Saccharomyces cerevisiae S288C: one gene and its partners. Changing the gene in region 1 together with any one later gene gives a genetic interaction. Each region holds a gene or a part of one and is shown in the gene's direction. Other genes may lie near its edges. The genes, in order: MGA2, PPG1, FAR3 and VPS51.

Region 1 (6,548 bases):
TGTTCATTGCAGCTTCATTAGCCTTTGGATCATCTTTTATGGGGATTTGGGCAGCCATACCACCCATCGCATGGACCCCTCTACGGTGACATGTATTGATCAATCTTTTCACATAAGCATCCATAAAAGGTGAAGTCATAGTCACTAGATCCCTATTTGGCAAAACGTGTTCAGGCAAGTTTCTCAGTTTTTTAATGGTCGAAAATATGTAGTCCCAACGACCACAGTTCAAACCGCTTGAATGTTCTCTTATTTGATAGATAATCTCCTCCATTTGGAAGGCCGCTGGCAAAGTTTCAATCAGAACAGTGGCCCTAATGGTACCGCGGGGCATTCCAATAAAATCTTGTGCAACACAGAATATGTCATTCCATAGTTTTACCTCCATATGGTGCTCCATCTTTGGTAAGTAAAAATAAGGTCCTTTACCAATTTTAACTAACTCTTTAGCGTTATGGTAAAAATATAAACCAAAATCGAAGATGGAAGCACTAATCGGTTCATCATCTATGTAAAGGTGCTTCTCCACCATGTGCCAGCCACGAGGTCTGACAATTAAAGTGGGCAGTCTTGAAATGTCATCCTTCAACCTGTACTCCTTTCTTGGTGTCTTGAAATCGATTTGATTTCTAATGGCATCATAAAGATTAACTTGTCCGTAAATCATGTTCTCCCAAGTTGGAGATGAAGAGTCCTCGAAATCAGTCATATATGTCGTTACTTCAGCATTCAAAGCGTTGACTAACATATTTCTCAATGGTGGCCCAGTAATCTCGCTGGATCTGTTGATCAAACCAGGGGCTGGGATAGCACCTTGCCATGTAGGATCGTTCCTGATTTGTTCGGTTTCCGGCAAGAAATCAAATCGGTATTCACCAGAGTCTAACTTTGATTGTAAATTGCTTCTGTTGGCTAAAAGCTGTTTCCGTGTTGAATTGAAAGTTCTATGCAGCAAAACAATGAACTCTAAGGCATCTTTTGTTAAAATATCAGCTACAGTAGTTTTGGAAGGTTCAAATTGAGGAGTCGTGTCGATGTCTGCGTATAGAGCAGTGTTGTCCAAGCTTATCTTCACCATTGTTCAGTGCTCTTTACCGTGCCTATGACACATACTCTAAGTGATATCAACTGCACAGAAAGTGAAGAATTAAGACTACATGCGTAAATGTCCCCATTTTATACTTATTGCTTCACCAATTGACGAAACTATCCAATCTTTGTGATACTTTCACGATGTACCTTATCCAAGATAAGCCAAAACTTATGAAATTCAATTTATGTGATAAGAAAAGCAAACGCAATTTTCCAAAATCCGCGGTATTCTATCGCACCGCAACTTTCAGCGGAGATTTTATGTCGATAATCGTAAACCTATGAAATTACTAATACATGAACATTTACATATTTACTTCGCCCACAGTCGCAGAATTAGATGATAATACAAACGTCGCCATCGCTGTAGTGTTCTTCCACACAGTCCTTCTCGGGCCTGTCAGGGTCCAGACTTTCGTAGATTAAGACTGAAAAATCCAAATGTTCTTCCTTGCCAAGTACTATCATGGGCGCATGCCAGGTACCTAAGCCATAGGTAACGGCCTGATTACCCAAACATGTAAAAGCCCTCAACGTAGACAAGTCTGGCTTATTTCCAATTTCTTTAGCGACTACTACCAAGTATGCTACTTCCGCTGACGTTCTCCCCATAGGCACAAACGTCTGCGTACTACACGGATGCTTTTCGAGGACTTTGATAGAATGAGAAATCGCCTGATTGGAGCCTTGAGTGAATACTCTATTCAGGTGCGGCTGTGGAAAGCAACGGAATAGGTTCCAATTGGGAACTTTACTGGTAGATTTATTCTCTACCTGGCTTACTTGAAGCAATTTGATCGCTGTTCCCTGGTTTGCACCTTTTTCAAGGTTTTGCATCCTTGAAATCTCTTCATCTGGCGAAATTATCGTCCCATACTCCTCGAAGGACTCTTTCGTCAATGTCTCCGCCACCACGGTCACCATATCTTTGCTTCAAAGATTTTTTGCCCTACAAGATAAGCATCAAGAGCGATTGGATGACAGTTACTGACTTATATATGCGAATGCACATGAATAGACCGCATATGCTTCTTATCAGTCTTACCTCGCTTATCTTTCCCCATTTATTTGCCAATCCATCTTATCTTATCTGGCACTTTGTCTCAGGGTTAGTGTTACAAAAAGGCTAGGACTTATTTCCAAAATTCTACTTTTGAAAATAACCCTAACAATAAAAGCAAGGGCATTCTGATGTTACCCTAGAAATGTCGTATTTCTTTTTATATCGTGGATCATGACAAAAAACTCAACATTTTCAAATGGGTGAGCTCTAAACCAGAAAATACAGCCGCCGAAAGCCTTTTAAAAGGACAGCGGCGCTTGATCAACAGTCGTTCTTGGGGTCGTTAAGACTAGATCCTGCTTCCCCCCCTTATTGTGCATTTAAAGGCACTTATTGAAGGTCATTTTGGCGAACAGAACATTTCGTTATGCAGCAGAACAGTGAGTTCTTAACGGAAACACCTGGAAGCGACCCTCATATATCTCAATTGCACGCGAATAGCGTAATGGAATCACAGCTCTTGGACGATTTCCTCCTGAACGGGTCTCCCATGTACCAGGATGATAGCATGGCGCATATTAATATTGATGAGGGTGCTAATTTCCAAAATTTTATCAAGACAGATGAGGGTGATTCGCCCAACCTGTTGTCTTTCGAAGGTATCGGTAACAATACTCATGTCAACCAAAACGTGTCCACTCCACTGGAGGAGGAAATGGAAAGTAACAGAGCCTTGAAGGAGGAAGAAGAGGACGAGCATGAAAATAAGGTTTTTAATGAAAAAAATATAGGCAACCCTGCTCATGACGAGATTGTATTTGGAAGAAAGGAGACGATTCAATCTGTTTACATAAATCCTTTAGATTACCTTAAAGTGAACGCAGCGCAGCTACCTTTGGATGTAGAGGTCTCAGGTTTGCCACAAGTATCTAGAGTGGAAAATCAACTGAAACTGAAAGTGAAAATTACGTCTGAAACACCACTAAACCAAAGCATGCTTTACTTGCCTAGCGATTCCATTTCAAGAGAAAAGTTTTATTTAAAAAAAAATATCGAGGATTTTTCAGAAGACTTCAAGAAAAATCTTCTGTACATCAATGCGTTTGTTCTATGTGCGGTCAGCAACAGAACGACAAATGTTTGTACCAAGTGTGTTAAGCGAGAACAAAGAAGAGCCGCTAGAAGGAAATCAGGTATTGCAGACAATTTACTCTGGTGTAATAATATTAATAGAAGGTTAGTCGTGTTCAATAACAAACAGGTTTTCCCCATAATGAAAACTTTCGATAATGTTAAGGAGTTTGAATTAACTACCAGGCTAGTTTGTTATTGCAGGCACCATAAGGCAAATAATGGCTTTGTCATATTATTCACTATAACAGATTGGCAAAATAGACTGTTGGGTAAGTTTACGACAACACCTATTATGATCACGGATAGAAAACCAGCAAATATGGATACCACCAAGTTTAATAACACTACTACCTCGTCCAGAAGGCAGCTAACGGAAGAAGAATCTACCACAGAATATTATTCAACGGATAACAACCAATTGAGCAAAGACGAAAATATGCCATTTCAATATACTTATCAACACAACCCATATGATAATGACAGTCAAATGAATAATATTCCACTGAAAGACAAAAACGTACCATTCCCATATTCCATCTCTCAACAGACAGATTTGCTTCAGAACAATAACTTATCACTGAACCTTTCTCTGCCCAATCAGCATATTCCATCACCAACATCTATGAGCGAAGAAGGCTCAGAATCATTTAACTATCATCATCGCGATAATGACAATCCCGTCCGTACTATCTCTTTGACAAATATTGAACAACAGAGTCAATTGAACCAACGGAAAAGAGCACGCAATAATTTGGAAAATGACATTGGTAAACCCCTATTCAAGCATTCCTTTTCAAATTCAATCAGTGCAACAAATACGATGAATCCAGCTTTACATTCAATGCAAGATTTCTCAATGAAAAACAACAACAATAATTTGCCATCAATTAATCGCGTTATACCTTCACAAGGCCCAATCAATGGTGGTATCGAAGTTACATTACTGGGTTGTAACTTCAAAGATGGTCTTTCTGTAAAGTTCGGCTCTAATCTTGCCCTTTCTACGCAATGCTGGAGTGAGACCACGATCGTCACTTATCTCCCTCCCGCTGCCTACGCGGGTCAAGTTTTCGTCTCTATTACTGATACGAATAATGAAAATAATAACGATGACCTTCCCCAAGAAATTGAGATCAATGACAATAAAAAGGCCATATTTACCTATGTTGATGATACTGATAGGCAACTGATTGAATTGGCTTTGCAAATTGTGGGATTAAAAATGAATGGTAAGTTAGAAGATGCAAGAAATATCGCGAAGAGGATTGTTGGCAATGATTCTCCTGATAGCGGTACAAATGGCAACAGCTGTTCAAAAAGCACAGGTCCCTCTCCAAACCAACACAGTATGAATCTGAACACAAGTGTTCTTTACTCCGATGAAGTCTTGATACAAAAAGTTATAAAATCATTGAACATAAATTCCAATATTTCCATATGTGATTCATTAGGGAGAACTTTATTACATCTTGCCTGTTTGAAAAATTACTCAAGCCTTGTGTATACATTGATTAAAAAGGGTGCTCGTGTTAACGATATTGATTCCTTTGGGCTAACTCCATTACATTTTGCTTGCATAAGTGGTGACCCTAAAATTATTAAGATGCTTTTAAATTGTAAAGTAAATTATTCACTGAGGTCACACAACGGATTAACTGCAAGAGAAGTATTCATAGCAAACCACATTCATTCAAAGGAAATAGACAAAAAACAAGATAACAGAGACAACCATAAGTTTGTTCATAATGACACTTATATCAGCGAAGTATTGTCATTGTTTGAAGAATTCCAAAACGGTACGAAGTTTACCGATAGTGTAGAAACAGACAGTAATTATTCTATTAGCAGGAAATATTCACAATCCAGTTTCAATTCAAGCCTGCTAGACAATGAATCTTTGAATGAGAACTTATTCGAAAGCCAAAGCATGATAAATCCCACTTCTATGGAGATTCAGCATCCAACCTTGCAACTATTTGAGAATTCAAGTTACTCTGAGTACGACCAAAGTGATTTCGAAGAAGACGGGGATGAAGATCTGTTCGTCACTGACGAAGTAGAAAAACCAGGTGTTGCATGCAGGGAGGAACAAAGCGAACTCCTTGATATTGGATCTAGCGCCAACGAACCCGAAGAGGATAATGGTAGTACATCTCTCTGGAATAGAGTTTTACATCGAATTAATGATGACTTACCAAAATATGAGGATCTGTTCCCGTTGTCTTGGGGTAAAGATGATAAATTGAAAACCACAAATCAAGACAGTATTGTGGAGCAGTCAGCATCTAATATTGAAAACTCTGAAAATTCGGAGGAAGAGGATTATGAGGAAGAGGAAGAATTTTTGAAAAAACAGTTTAACAGATTCTTCCAAAACAAACAAAACTTCCGAAATGATAAAATGTTAATATTTTTCTGGATACCCTTAACACTACTACTTTTGACATGGTTCATCATGTACAAATTTGGCAACCAAGATAGTTCCATCAATCATATAAGCGAATTAATCTCAGAGTACTTGAGAATTGCATTAGCAAAGTTCTTGCTGGGAAATGAAAGGATGAAAACTGCATTCAGGTCAAAATTATCAAACCTGCAAACAACAAGAATGTTGAACGATTTAATTGTCAGTTAGTCTGCTTTTTTACGTATATATATATATATATGTGTGTATAATGAAAAGACAGTACACTTAAAAGAAGAGAAAGTCATTTAAAAAAAGTCAAAAAAAAATTAAACTTGTAAATGTCAGCGTAACGATAATGTATATACTTTAAATGTAAACTACAATCTTGAAGATCTTTTAACACGAGCGCAATGTCTATCGAACAATTTCTTGGCTCTAACCCAGACAGGAGCAGTTTTTCTTTGAGGTAGGAGCTCTAAAGATGGTAAGAGATCATGAGAGAAAAATTCTGAAGCTTCTCTTGGCAGCAAAGAAGGCAAGTGATCAATAGAGATGACAGATAATTTAGGCCCGGCAGTGGTAGGTACCAGAACGGTAGGTTTGTTAAACACAGTAGCCACAGTGTATATTGGGATGGGGTTGTGAGGGTTGGTAGTGTCTGCTGATACGTCCACCACGGTCCTTAGTCTTCTGTTAGGATTATTCAGTTTCTCCATGTTAGTGAAAGGAGCAATTGGCTTCGATAGATATATACAATTGATAAAAATATCAGCTTGTGGAATTTCGTCAAAGGGACCACCACGGGAAGTTTCTTTGATATCCCATTTTAATATGTTAGCATCTGGAATACCAACTTTGTGCAACAGATCGATGGCACCGGAACCACATCTTCCTAGCGCACCAATGATTAAC
Region 2 (4,320 bases), on another chromosome or scaffold:
TTATCTTCTAGTTTAAAGGCCATGATTTCTTGAAATACGGAGTCAGTAGAATCCCTAAAAATCCTCAGAGATTTGTTCTGATCTTCCACGGTCCTCCCATTCATCCATGCCTTCAACTCAATCCAAATGTCATCTGAAAACTGAGTATTGAAGCCAGGGCCTTTCCCTTGATTTGCAATCTTCGTTTTTTCATTCCTCACAATATCTCCCTTCAGTACCTTAGATAACATTGTTTGCCATTCAAATCGGTTGTTCACCATAGGATTTTGTAACAATTTTGACAGCAAATCCTCGCTCCCCAGTATGGAATGCCACTCCTCATCTTCTATTTCACACGGTTGATCATTGTTCACATCCCTCAACCAATCCAATTTGCCCTTTAGATAATTTAGGCTCATCGAAACAACATTTTCATTATTTTTTGTGCTCGACGTAATAAAATTATAACCAAAATTGAAGTCGTTATCTTTATCCTCACCTTCTACCTTTAAAAGATCATCCATTTCTAGTTCTAAGTCATCTTCACCTTTGTTACTAAAATTTTCTTCGTCATCTTCAAAGTTGGATGATGCGACTATACCTCTAGTGTAATAATCATCATTAGCACGGTTTCTCATTTTTCTTAAATATAACTGTTCATTTAATACATATTGTTTTTTGTATGTTCGGAGGCTCGTTGTGCTTCCACCATGGTGGCCTACAGACCGTTGCGAGCTATTTGTCGTGACAATATCCTGCAAAGTGGAGGAACTTGTTGACCCATTTGGTTGCGATCTGGTGGGAATGTGTTTGTTCGAAGTTTGGTTTGTAATATTTTGTGGCGTTGACATAATCGATGTATTCGTTGTATTTAGTGAAGCCAGTTCTGGTGATATCACTAACGTTGGGGTCGTCAATAATGGATCTTGATTACTATTCACGGGAGCGGGCTTCTTAATAATCTCGCTCTCTGTTTTACTAGCCTCAACTTTCTTATGTACAGGAACAGGTTGAGTAGACAACTTCGGTAGAGACTGCTGAGGATTTTTTGGTAGAGGAAGACCAATATTCGAGGGCCGTCTACTAGATCTTGCCGAGGAGCTGGAGGACCCAGAAATGGCATTTTGATGAAAAAACTGACCTTGAGGTATACCCGGAAGACGATTGAATAGCTGTACTGTATTTAATGGAGACTCTCCAGGGCTGTAAACAGCGTTTGGTGATCTAAAGTACTGGGTAGAATGCAGCCCTGGGCTGATGGGCGATGACGCTACTCGAGCCTGCGTAGTATTGGAATTTCGCCCTAAACTTTCCGACCTTAGTCTAGATGAAGATGATGAAGATGACTGCCTCATCTTGGAGCTGCTGGGCTTTTCCGTGGAATCGCCGTAAGGCTTATAATTGAAGTAGTCTGAATGCGACATTATTTGTGCCTGTCAAATAGTTTACGCAAAGGCTTCTCTTCTTTTTAGTAATGGCAGACTGTTTGTACTTGAAACTGCCCAATAGTAACTTGAAGGACAGACGGAGCTCACACAAAAGTTAACAAATATGCTGGAACCTTTTTTTTTCCTTTGAATTCTTTGTAAACCAGTAATTCGTTTTGAAAACACCCGTTCTTAGCTGTTCTTTAACAGTACTACTCTCTAAGGCAATAACACACTGGGGCAGCAACAATTACAATCTTCTAACCTCTTCTAATCTGCAGATTTGGCTTCTTTCTATCTCTGTTTACCCACCTTTATCACTCTTTTCAGATTAATCAATTCTTTCCATACAAAGAAACGCCCGAAAAGTGGCGCGAGTTTCCCGGGTGATGGAGCAGTAATTAATAATGCAAAACTGCTAAAATACCCACTGTTTCAGGGTATGAAACGCGGTATTTTCAGCGAGTTGTAGGTAATTTGGAACAGTTCGTGACTGTTTATTAAGTTCCACTCATTGCAGTTGTATCCCCACTGTGTACTTTTATTTTTGGTTAGAGAATTGGCCCAGTAGAGATGGAATTGGACGAATGTTTAGAAAGGCTATACAAGGCCCAGTTACTACCTGAAGTGACTGTAAGGGCACTCTGCTTTAAGCTGAAGGAAATGCTAGTGAAGGAGTCAAACGTGATTCACATTCAGACCCCTGTCACAGTCGTGGGGGATATGCATGGACAGTTTCACGATATGCTGGAGATCTTCCAAATAGGCGGCCCTGTTCCTGATACGAATTATCTGTTCTTGGGCGACTATGTAGACAGGGGGTTGTACAGTGTGGAAACAATTATGCTATTGATTGTGCTTAAGCTTCGATATCCTAGTAGAATTCATCTTTTGAGGGGAAACCACGAGTCACGTCAAATCACGCAGAGCTATGGTTTCTACACGGAGTGCTTGAACAAGTACGGTGGCAATTCAAGAGTTTGGCAATATTTGACAGATATATTTGACTATCTAGTGTTATGCTGTATTATCGACGACGAAATTTTTTGTGTTCATGGTGGGCTCTCGCCCAATGTTCAAACCATAGATCAGATCAAGATTATTGATAGATTTCGAGAAATTCCACACGATGGCGCCATGGCAGACTTGGTTTGGTCTGATCCGGAAGAAAACAATAACCCCACGTTAGATCATCCAGATAACTCTGGACAACATTTCCAGGTGTCACCTCGTGGAGCAGGTTATACTTTCGGAAGAAGCGTGGTGGAGAAATTCTTACGTATGAACGATATGAACAGAATATACAGAGCCCATCAGTTATGTAACGAAGGTTACCAGATATATTTTGATGGATTGGTTACTACTGTATGGTCGGCGCCAAACTATTGTTATCGGTGCGGCAATAAAGCATCTATTCTGGAGCTGTATAGTAAAGATCAATTCTACTTCAACGTTTTCGAAGAGGCACCTGAAAATAAACTGTTGAAAGAGAACAGTATGAACGACAATGCCTTAGAAGATAGCATATCTAATCCGGTAGCCAACAGGAAATTGATTGCAGATTATTTCGAAGACGACTCTGCCTCCGCAGATGGCTCCACGGACCCTGAAATGTACATATTTTCAGATGTATACCAAGCCAGATCTGCTTCTAACAGACATGTTGATTACTTCTTGTAGCTTACTAAACAATAGAAAAGCATTATAGAGACAACGCCATCTTATTATTTCTACATATTCTATCTCTCTCGGTTGCAAATGTATGTATTGTGTATTTAGATCAAAAAAAAAAAAACAGCGCATTTTCTACAGGTAATACAGCTCCAAATTTGTCTGATCATGTACCTCATAATCTTCCAGAGAGATATGGTCTTTTAAAACACTTCCACCCTTCTGCAACACAATTTTGTTTGGTTGGGTGCCAATTTGCAAGGACAATACTTTTTTGAAATCACCTACACTATCTTCAGCAAGGCACTTCACTCTGACTTTTTTGCCTAATCGGTCATTCACAACTACCTCAATCATTTTCAGAGTATTTATTTGCAATCTAAGCTTTGCCACCGCTCCTCTTTCTCAATCTTTTCCTCTCCCTCCTCATCTCTCTCAGCCAAAACCGCGAATATATAAAAACAAGCAAGTCTCCCGTAGAACTTTTACACGATGACCTTTCGAGATTTCACAAGGGGGATAAAGGAATGCTGTCCGATACAATTGACACAAAGCAACAACAGCAACAGCTTCATGTCCTGTTCATAGACTCTTATGATTCATTCACCTACAATGTAGTGAGACTAATTGAACAACAAACTGATATCTCACCGGGAGTCAACGCCGTGCACGTGACGACGGTACATAGTGATACGTTCCAATCTATGGATCAGCTATTGCCACTTTTGCCGCTTTTTGATGCTATCGTTGTTGGCCCAGGACCTGGGAATCCCAACAATGGTGCACAAGATATGGGTATAATATCTGAGCTTTTCGAGAATGCCAATGGAAAGTTAGATGAAGTTCCAATATTGGGTATATGTCTTGGGTTCCAAGCAATGTGCTTGGCTCAAGGTGCTGATGTCAGTGAGCTAAATACTATCAAGCATGGGCAAGTGTATGAAATGCATTTAAACGATGCAGCCAGAGCTTGTGGCCTTTTTTCTGGTTATCCCGATACGTTCAAATCTACGAGGTACCATTCATTGCATGTCAATGCCGAAGGCATTGACACCCTTTTGCCCTTATGCACAACCGAAGATGAGAACGGTATTCTTTTGATGAGTGCTCAAACGAAAAATAAGCCATGGTTTGGCGTACAGTACCACCCGGAGTCATGTTGTTCAGAATTGGGGGGGCTGTTAGTCAGTAACTTTCTCAAGTTGAGTTTCATAAATAACGTGAAGACAGGAAGGTGGGAAAA
Region 3 (3,777 bases), on another chromosome or scaffold:
ATCACTCGGATTTCTCCTGTAATTAGGTTTGCTGTTTCTCGATCCCTGTTGTTCTTCATAAATAGCATGGATATCTAAGAACAGTTCAGCGACTGTCATATTTAGATGTCGATGACGTGTGTAGCGTAAAAATTTATATTCGCCAGATAGACCTCTCATAATTAATTGGCATGCGACCTTGTTATTGATATGAATGCCATTATTGTTCAGTCTGTCGATAATGTTTGTGACTTTTGTTTCAAATGCATCTGCAGGTGTACTGCCATTATATTGCAAATTTGCCAGGGTCACAATGTCGTTTGCCTCTTGGGTATCAGATTGCATTTTTTCAATACTTTTGGAAAGAATTTTCATGATATCCGTATAATCAACGGATAGGATGTCTTTGACCCAGGTAGGTAGGAATTGAGAGGGAGCAAATATTTGAAAAGTGTTATACAAGAAGGTGAGTTCATCATCAGTGATCTGACGTACGGGTTTTCCGTTTACTGTCGGAATAATACCACCGAGATTCGAGTTTTGTAAAAATTTGATGTATGTTTTAACCCAATTTGGAAAATCATTAGGTGAGGTTAACATTGGTGGTGGTCTGACATATTTTTTAGTGGATGTCATATCAGAGTCCGCTGAGGATGAATCAGTAAATGTATTACCTGACTCAGGTGATGGAGTGCTCAGAGGCGTTCCAACTGATGATGGATACTGCGGAAACTGTGATTGTGGCCCAGGTGGAAAGTACATAGGCGACATTTGATAAGGTGTATACGGAATCATAGATGGGTGTCCGTAAAATGACCAACCAGATGGATTGGCTTGGTTTTGGGTCATCATGCACTGCTGTGGGTACGGCCCATTCTGTGGAGGTGGTACTGAAGCAGGTTGAGGAGAGGCATGATGGGGGTTCTCTGGAACAGCTGATGAAGCAGGTGTTGTTGTCTGTTGAGAGTTAGCCTTAGTGGAAGCCTTATCATATTCTTGAATTTTGGAAGCTGAAACGTCTAACGGATCTTGATTTGTGTGGACTTCCTTAGAAGTAACCGAAGCACAGGCGCTACCATGAGATATATGTGGGTAATTAGATAATTGTTGGGATTCCATTGTTGATAAAGGCTATAATATTAGGTATACAGAATATACTAGAAGTTCTCCTCGAGGATATAGGAATCCTCAAAATGGAATCTATATTTCTACATACTAATATTACGATTATTCCTCATTCCGTTTTATATGTTTATATTCATTGATCCTATTACATTATCAATCCTTGCGTTTCAGCTTCCTCTAACATCGATGACAGCTTCTCATAACTTATGTCATCATCTTAACACCGTATATGATAATATATTGATAATATAACTATTAGTTGATAGACGATAGTGGATTTTTATTCCAACAGAAGGTGATCTAAAGATTGAGAAACAGTCACCAGATTTAGGGGAAGCTGAAATGCAATGATTGATAATGTAATAAGAAGCGAGAGGGAAAGTATAAAAAGGAAGTGATCAATTTGTGAATAATTTGATAACCGTTGGGATTCTATTGTTCGCAAGGGCTTTATTTTATTATGTGTACAGAATATAATAAAATTTCCCCTGAGAGATATACCAATCCTCAAATTGGAATCGATACTCCTATATAATACAATTACAATTATTTCTCCCTCCCTTTCGTATGTTTCATTATCCTAGTACATTATCAATCCTTATATTTCTGCTTCCATTAAATTTTACGACTGTTTCTCAATGTTTAGATCATCTTCTTACACTGTATATGATAATGTACGAGTGGCATGAATACTACTGAACAGATGATATTTTATAGCTTCATTCCAACAGAAAGAACATAAAGTAATATCGTTACGTAAAACTATCGATTCCCTTTTGACGATTCCTACATCCTCGAGAAGAAGTTCTAGTATATTCTGTGTACCTAATATTGTAGGCTCTAACAACAATGGAATCCCAACAATTAATCATCTTGATTATTTTATTCCCCGCGTTTTAGAGCATCAATCTTGCCAGCTTATAGCTGGTCATTGTCGACGATAATCTCAAGCACAGGGCTAAAAAATAAATTGAAACGGACAGGAATTGAACCTGCAACCCTTCGATTGCAATCTTATTCCGTGGAATTTCCAAGATTTAATTGGAGTCGAAAGCTCTACCATTGAGCCACCGCTTCAACTTTTATTGTTTATATTGACACCTGTATAACAATATAACCACAATAAAAGGTTCATTCAAAGCTCCGGCTAGCATTCGGCGATTAATGAAGAAAGTTAAACCGTGATTTATTACTTCTTGCTCGTTTTTTCCATCATAAGTTCGCACAGAGCAGTATATATAGTGATTTGCAAATATGAATAGCGGTGGTAGTGATAGTTTCGATTATCTTCTTCAATTAACAAAAGCTTTAAGTGCAGAGTGTCGGGCTAACAGACAAGAGACCGATCGAATAGAACTATTGTTAAAGCGCCTTGCCAAACAGTCAGGAATATCTTATGATAATTTGAGCAAAAACATAATTCCAGATTCATGGAAAGATAATGCATCTCAAAAAGCATCTCCCCCCACTGAGGCACAGAAGCTTATCAGCGAAAATTTTAAACTCATATACGAGATTGAAAAACAAGAGTACTTCAATACAAAGGCTGTTGCGCTAATTAACAACATAAATGAGCATTTCTCATATATTAAAAATTTTATCGACGAACAGAATGCAATAAGAGAACGAAATATTGCCACATTTTCATCAGAGAAGCTTGATGAAAGGAACAAAAGTCTTCAACAAAATTACGAGTCATTGAAGACAGAAAATGAAGAAACAAAAAAAAAATTGCATTCAATTATCAAACAGTTTGAAAAACTTTTGAAGGAAGTGGATTGGGATCGTATATCTAAAGATTCCAGAGATTACAGCCGCTTTAAAAAACAGTTGGAATACCTGCAAGACACGTACCAGGTACTGAAATAGCCTACGATGGATCGAACAAAAGTGTAAGCAGACGTGAAATAGCAAACCTTTGAATGCATTTATATATTTTAATATACTTATAACAACGGATAAATGTTTAGATCCCTTTTGAAAAAAAAAAAAAATTAGGATGAACCGAAAAAAATCATACTCGTATTCCTCTATCGTCTTCACTGGCATTATTGTGTAAAGAATTATTACCAAATAACCACCTGAACCACCCCACAGTATCATTCTTTAAATCTTTAAAATAACGGCGGCTCAGCATCTTTAAACAAAGAGCTTCATAGGTGGGGTTGTTAGTGGTCATCAAATCATTTACGCATCTATCATATTCGTCTTTATCACTCTTGGGATCTATTGCAGAGCATATTCCAGTTTTACCCTGTCCCTGAAGAGAGCTTTTCAACCCAATTAATTTGGAATCAAACTGAGCAACACTACTTTCAATATCTCGTACACGAACTTCCAATATCCTCATATCATATTTCAACCTAGATGATAAGGAATTTAACTCTTGCATCTCATGGAGAAGAAGTTGTTGCTTATTGTCAATGTCTTCAAATCTCCCTTCAAACACTTTTGCACCATCTGAATACTTCTTATATAGTTCTTGCAGTCTTTTATATCTTTCGTTGAATTTAGAGTACTGACCAACAGTTCCCTCCTTATTTAATTTACCCATATAATGCTCATCCATTTCTTGTATGTGTTGCTGCGCTTGGATGTCGTATTTCATTCGTAACAAATCTCTAGCTATTCGAACAACAGATGGATCAAATGGTAAATCCCATTTTTCCACAA
Region 4 (3,528 bases), on another chromosome or scaffold:
TTCTTCTTTCATCTGTTTTCTCTTTTGTTTGGCCATCGCCTTTAGCGTACTCACTGGCACAACCGTGGTGGAAGCATATCTATCTACGCTATCCCAAACGCATTGCTCGACAACATTGGGAAGTTTTCTGCCATACAGGCACTGATCGACCAGCCACATACCCACAATAAAAGATTTCCTATCTAAAGTACCATCTTTTCTTGTGTCTACCTTCGTGTAAATTTCTGCCAATAGACTATTGGGCAAGTTAGACCGCTTCCAGATATCACGGACTATGATACCCAATATCAATCCATCTTCGGGTAAAGTATTAATTGCTCCGGAATCACCCGTTATAGAGGGCCACCAGCTCAACAGGTTCAAATGACGGTGTCTGTTGCTTACCCACATGCTTTCGTAACGCTTCCTTTCGTTGTCTGTTACGAAAGTTATATCTGTATGTGATTTCCAGGGTTTATCCTCATTGAATTTCCGATCTCTCGTGCGGTGGATAGGCCTATGATGTGCAGTTTTATTGGCAGAATTCCTGATCTTTCTCTTAATTCTATCTCTTTTGCGTGGCTTGGTCAAGGCGTCCTGGTTCTGATCAGATTCAGAATCAGAATCAGTATCGTCATACACATCATACGTGTCGTTGGACGGATTGTACTTATACCTCAGATTTCCCTCATGTAGAGAGGATGCATGATCATTTTCTGCGTTTGTACTTACAGAGGTTTTACGTAATGTTGTTTTAAATCTCATACTCGGTTGTTGTTCATGTTGTCCCAGTTCTTCGCTGCTTGCATCCATTTCATATTGTGAAGATAAGTGCTTGGGCTTACTACCAAATACTTTCCTTTTGAACTTGTTAACAAGCTTCTTCTTCCTCATATCGGATGAATAGTTCGGAACCAAGTTGGGCAAACCACTTCCCTGGTTGCTCGTTGTAGTAGTAGTGTTTGAGCTTGCAATAGATGGCTCTGATTCACATAACGAGAGTTGATTAATTGTTTGAGATAGACTTGTTTGTGACCTATTAGAAATAACGTCTGAAGTGTCCGGATTGAGACTATGTCTGGAATCGATGCTAATTGATGATAGGTTTTCATTTTCATGAAGCTGACCACTGCCGACAAGTGATGATTGCAAGGGAGGAGACGGCCTGCGTTTGGGCAGAGCTTTGTTGCTGTCTTTATTAGTTGCAGGCTCCATAGAGCTCGAGGATAGCCTTCTACCGCTACTAAAGGAAGTAAGTAAATTCTCTTGAGATCTATTGTCGGGAGTTCTTTGGCCAGGCGTCAGTGATTCATTGGAGCCGTTTCTTGAGCTTGAGCGTGAATGAATGCCCAGCAAGCCATTCAAGTTCGGAGTTTCTAGAACTTTTAGTGTATCCAATGCCGAAGAATGGGAGGAGTTATTGTCAGAACTAAGTTTCGATTGTGAATGCGCTAAAGCAGCTGCCATTTGAGCAGTACTACTAACATTATCTTTACCTGCAGGGCTTGACCTGTGTTTCTTAGACAACTCAACATCATTAGGCGCCGTTGTTTTAATCTTAGGTACCTGTTTTGTTCGTATGCGTGCCTTCTTTTGTTCTTGTTTCCGCCCTGACTTTTGTAGCGATGGCTCTGATAACCTAGTTTGAGGATTCCTGCTCACCGTTACTGGAGGGCATGGACTGCTGACCTCATTGGAATGGTTCTGGAAGATAGCTTGCGCAGCGCGAAGGGAATCTGAAGCTCCTTGTTCAGTCAAAGTTACTGTTGTACCGCCATGATAACGCTGTTTACCAAACGAAAGTCTCATACTCCTCTGCTAATCTTTTCCTATGTCAAAAAAATGAATCTACCCAGGCCTTAAAAGTATGTTCTACCTGTGCAACGAGAGTGTTGTTGTGGCAAGGGTCCATTACACAATGGGCCTTTTTGTGATGATTCAACTTCGATATGCTTTATACGAGAAATCATCGAATTTTCGCTGCGTGGAAACAAGAGGCAGTAAGTTGTACGTATAGGTGAGGCTCTGCATAGAAGAGGCGTATTTGCGGTGAGACGGAATCTGACGAGGATATTAAGTACAGATGGCAGAACAAATTAGTCACAAAAAGTCCCTGAGGGTGAGCAGTCTGAACAAAGATAGAAGATTGCTCTTAAGAGAATTCTACAACTTGGAAAATGAACCGAATAAAGGTCGTCAAGAAGCACGTATAGGGGAAAAAGCCAGCGAGGCTCATTCTGGGGAGGAGCAAGTCACAGATGTGAATATAGATACCGAAGCAAACACTGAGAAACCAGTGAAAGATGACGAATTGAGTGCAACTGAAGAGGATCTCAAGGAGGGGTCAGAAGATGCAGAAGAAGAGATAAAGAACCTGCCCTTTAAGAGGCTAGTACAAATTCACAATAAGCTCTTGGGCAAAGAAACCGAGACTAACAATTCTATCAAGAATACCATTTACGAAAACTATTATGACCTAATAAAAGTCAACGACCTTCTCAAAGAAATTACAAACGCCAATGAAGACCAAATTAACAAGTTGAAGCAAACAGTAGAATCTTTAATCAAGGAACTGTAATTTCCAGCGGCATATCGTGGCTTTCACCGAACACTTCCTTCGAGAGAGTGCATTTTACTATGTGAACCAATTTTTCCTCTTTTTCGGTTTGCAAGTTCACCTGAAAAACTGCTTAACACTACTAGCAATTGCCCTATTGTCGTACGAGGACTTTGCCAAATGTATTCCCGGCTGTTTGTAGTATATATACGCAGATATATAATAGCGCCGTCTTTTTACCTCTTTGAGCGAATTGCCAAATATTGACTCTTTTGTCTTATTTCGCTATCCCCATCTTATCAAAAATGGGAACAACTCGTTGAAATAAGAGACAAGCAACAAGAAAGACAACCAACAGAAAGTTCCATTCCGCACAAATACGCTGGAATCCCATAGAATATTGCTTGTTCCTCTATGACTACATGCTCCAATTCAATACAGAAAATGATACTGTAGCTCCAGTGTTTCCCATGGAGCAAGATATAAATGCAGCACCTGATGCCGTCCCACTGGTGCAGACAACAACACTACAAGTCTTTGTAAAGCTTGCCGAACCCATAGTGTTTTTAAAAGGATTTGAAACTAACGGACTGTCTGAAATAGCCCCCAGTATCTTACGAGGATCTCTTATCGTCAGGGTGTTGAAACCGAATAAATTAAAAAGTATATCGATAACCTTCAAAGGAATATCCAGAACAGAGTGGCCGGAAGGTATACCACCGAAGAGAGAAGAATTTTCAGATGTTGAAACTGTTGTCAATCACACATGGCCATTTTATCAGGCGGATGACGGCATGAATTCTTTCACCTTAGAACATCACAGCTCAAATAATTCGTCCAATCGCCCATCTATGAGCGATGAAGATTATCTACTTGAAAAAAGCGGTGCTTCAGTATATATCCCACCAACCGCTGAACCCCCTAAAGATAATAGCAATCTAAGTCTGGATGCCTATGAGCGCAACTCATTGTCATCCGATAATTTGAGTAAC

The links.
Region 2: mutations in MGA2 (region 1) and PPG1 together harm fitness more than expected from each alone (negative genetic interaction), as found in Saccharomyces cerevisiae (3 studies listed by BioGRID).
Region 3: mutations in MGA2 (region 1) and FAR3 together harm fitness more than expected from each alone (negative genetic interaction), as found in Saccharomyces cerevisiae (3 studies listed by BioGRID).
Region 4: mutations in MGA2 (region 1) and VPS51 together harm fitness less than expected from each alone (positive genetic interaction), as found in Saccharomyces cerevisiae (3 studies listed by BioGRID, with this or other methods).

What each region holds. Positions count from the first base shown.
Region 1 is NC_001141.2:413,602-420,149, forward strand, and holds MGA2 (Mga2p), read left to right. Parts: upstream 1-2,522; coding exon 2,523-5,864; downstream 5,865-6,548. Other genes in the region: malate synthase DAL7, read right to left, coding at 1-1,078; DAL3 (ureidoglycolate hydrolase), read right to left, coding at 1,429-2,016; LYS1 (saccharopine dehydrogenase (NAD+, L-lysine-forming)), read right to left, coding at 6,014-6,548.
Region 2 is NC_001146.8:684,031-688,350, forward strand, and holds PPG1 (putative serine/threonine-protein kinase PPG1), read left to right. Parts: upstream 1-1,979; coding exon 1,980-3,086; downstream 3,087-4,320. Other genes in the region: mitogen-activated protein kinase kinase kinase SSK2, read right to left, coding at 1-1,403; ubiquitin-like protein HUB1, read right to left, coding at 3,213-3,434; ABZ1 (4-amino-4-deoxychorismate synthase), read left to right, coding at 3,605-4,320. UniProt on the Saccharomyces cerevisiae protein: Involved in glycogen accumulation.
Region 3 is NC_001145.3:377,228-381,004, forward strand, and holds FAR3 (Far3p), read left to right. Parts: upstream 1-2,358; coding exon 2,359-2,973; downstream 2,974-3,777. Other genes in the region: YMR051C (gag protein), read right to left, coding at 1-1,098; STB2 (Stb2p), read right to left, coding at 3,119-3,777. UniProt on the Saccharomyces cerevisiae protein: Participates in the control of the reentry into the cell cycle following pheromone treatment.
Region 4 is NC_001143.9:476,276-479,803, forward strand, and holds VPS51 (Vps51p), read left to right. Parts: upstream 1-2,062; coding exon 2,063-2,557; downstream 2,558-3,528. Other genes in the region: IRS4 (Irs4p), read right to left, coding at 1-1,788; ALY1 (Aly1p), read left to right, coding at 2,959-3,528.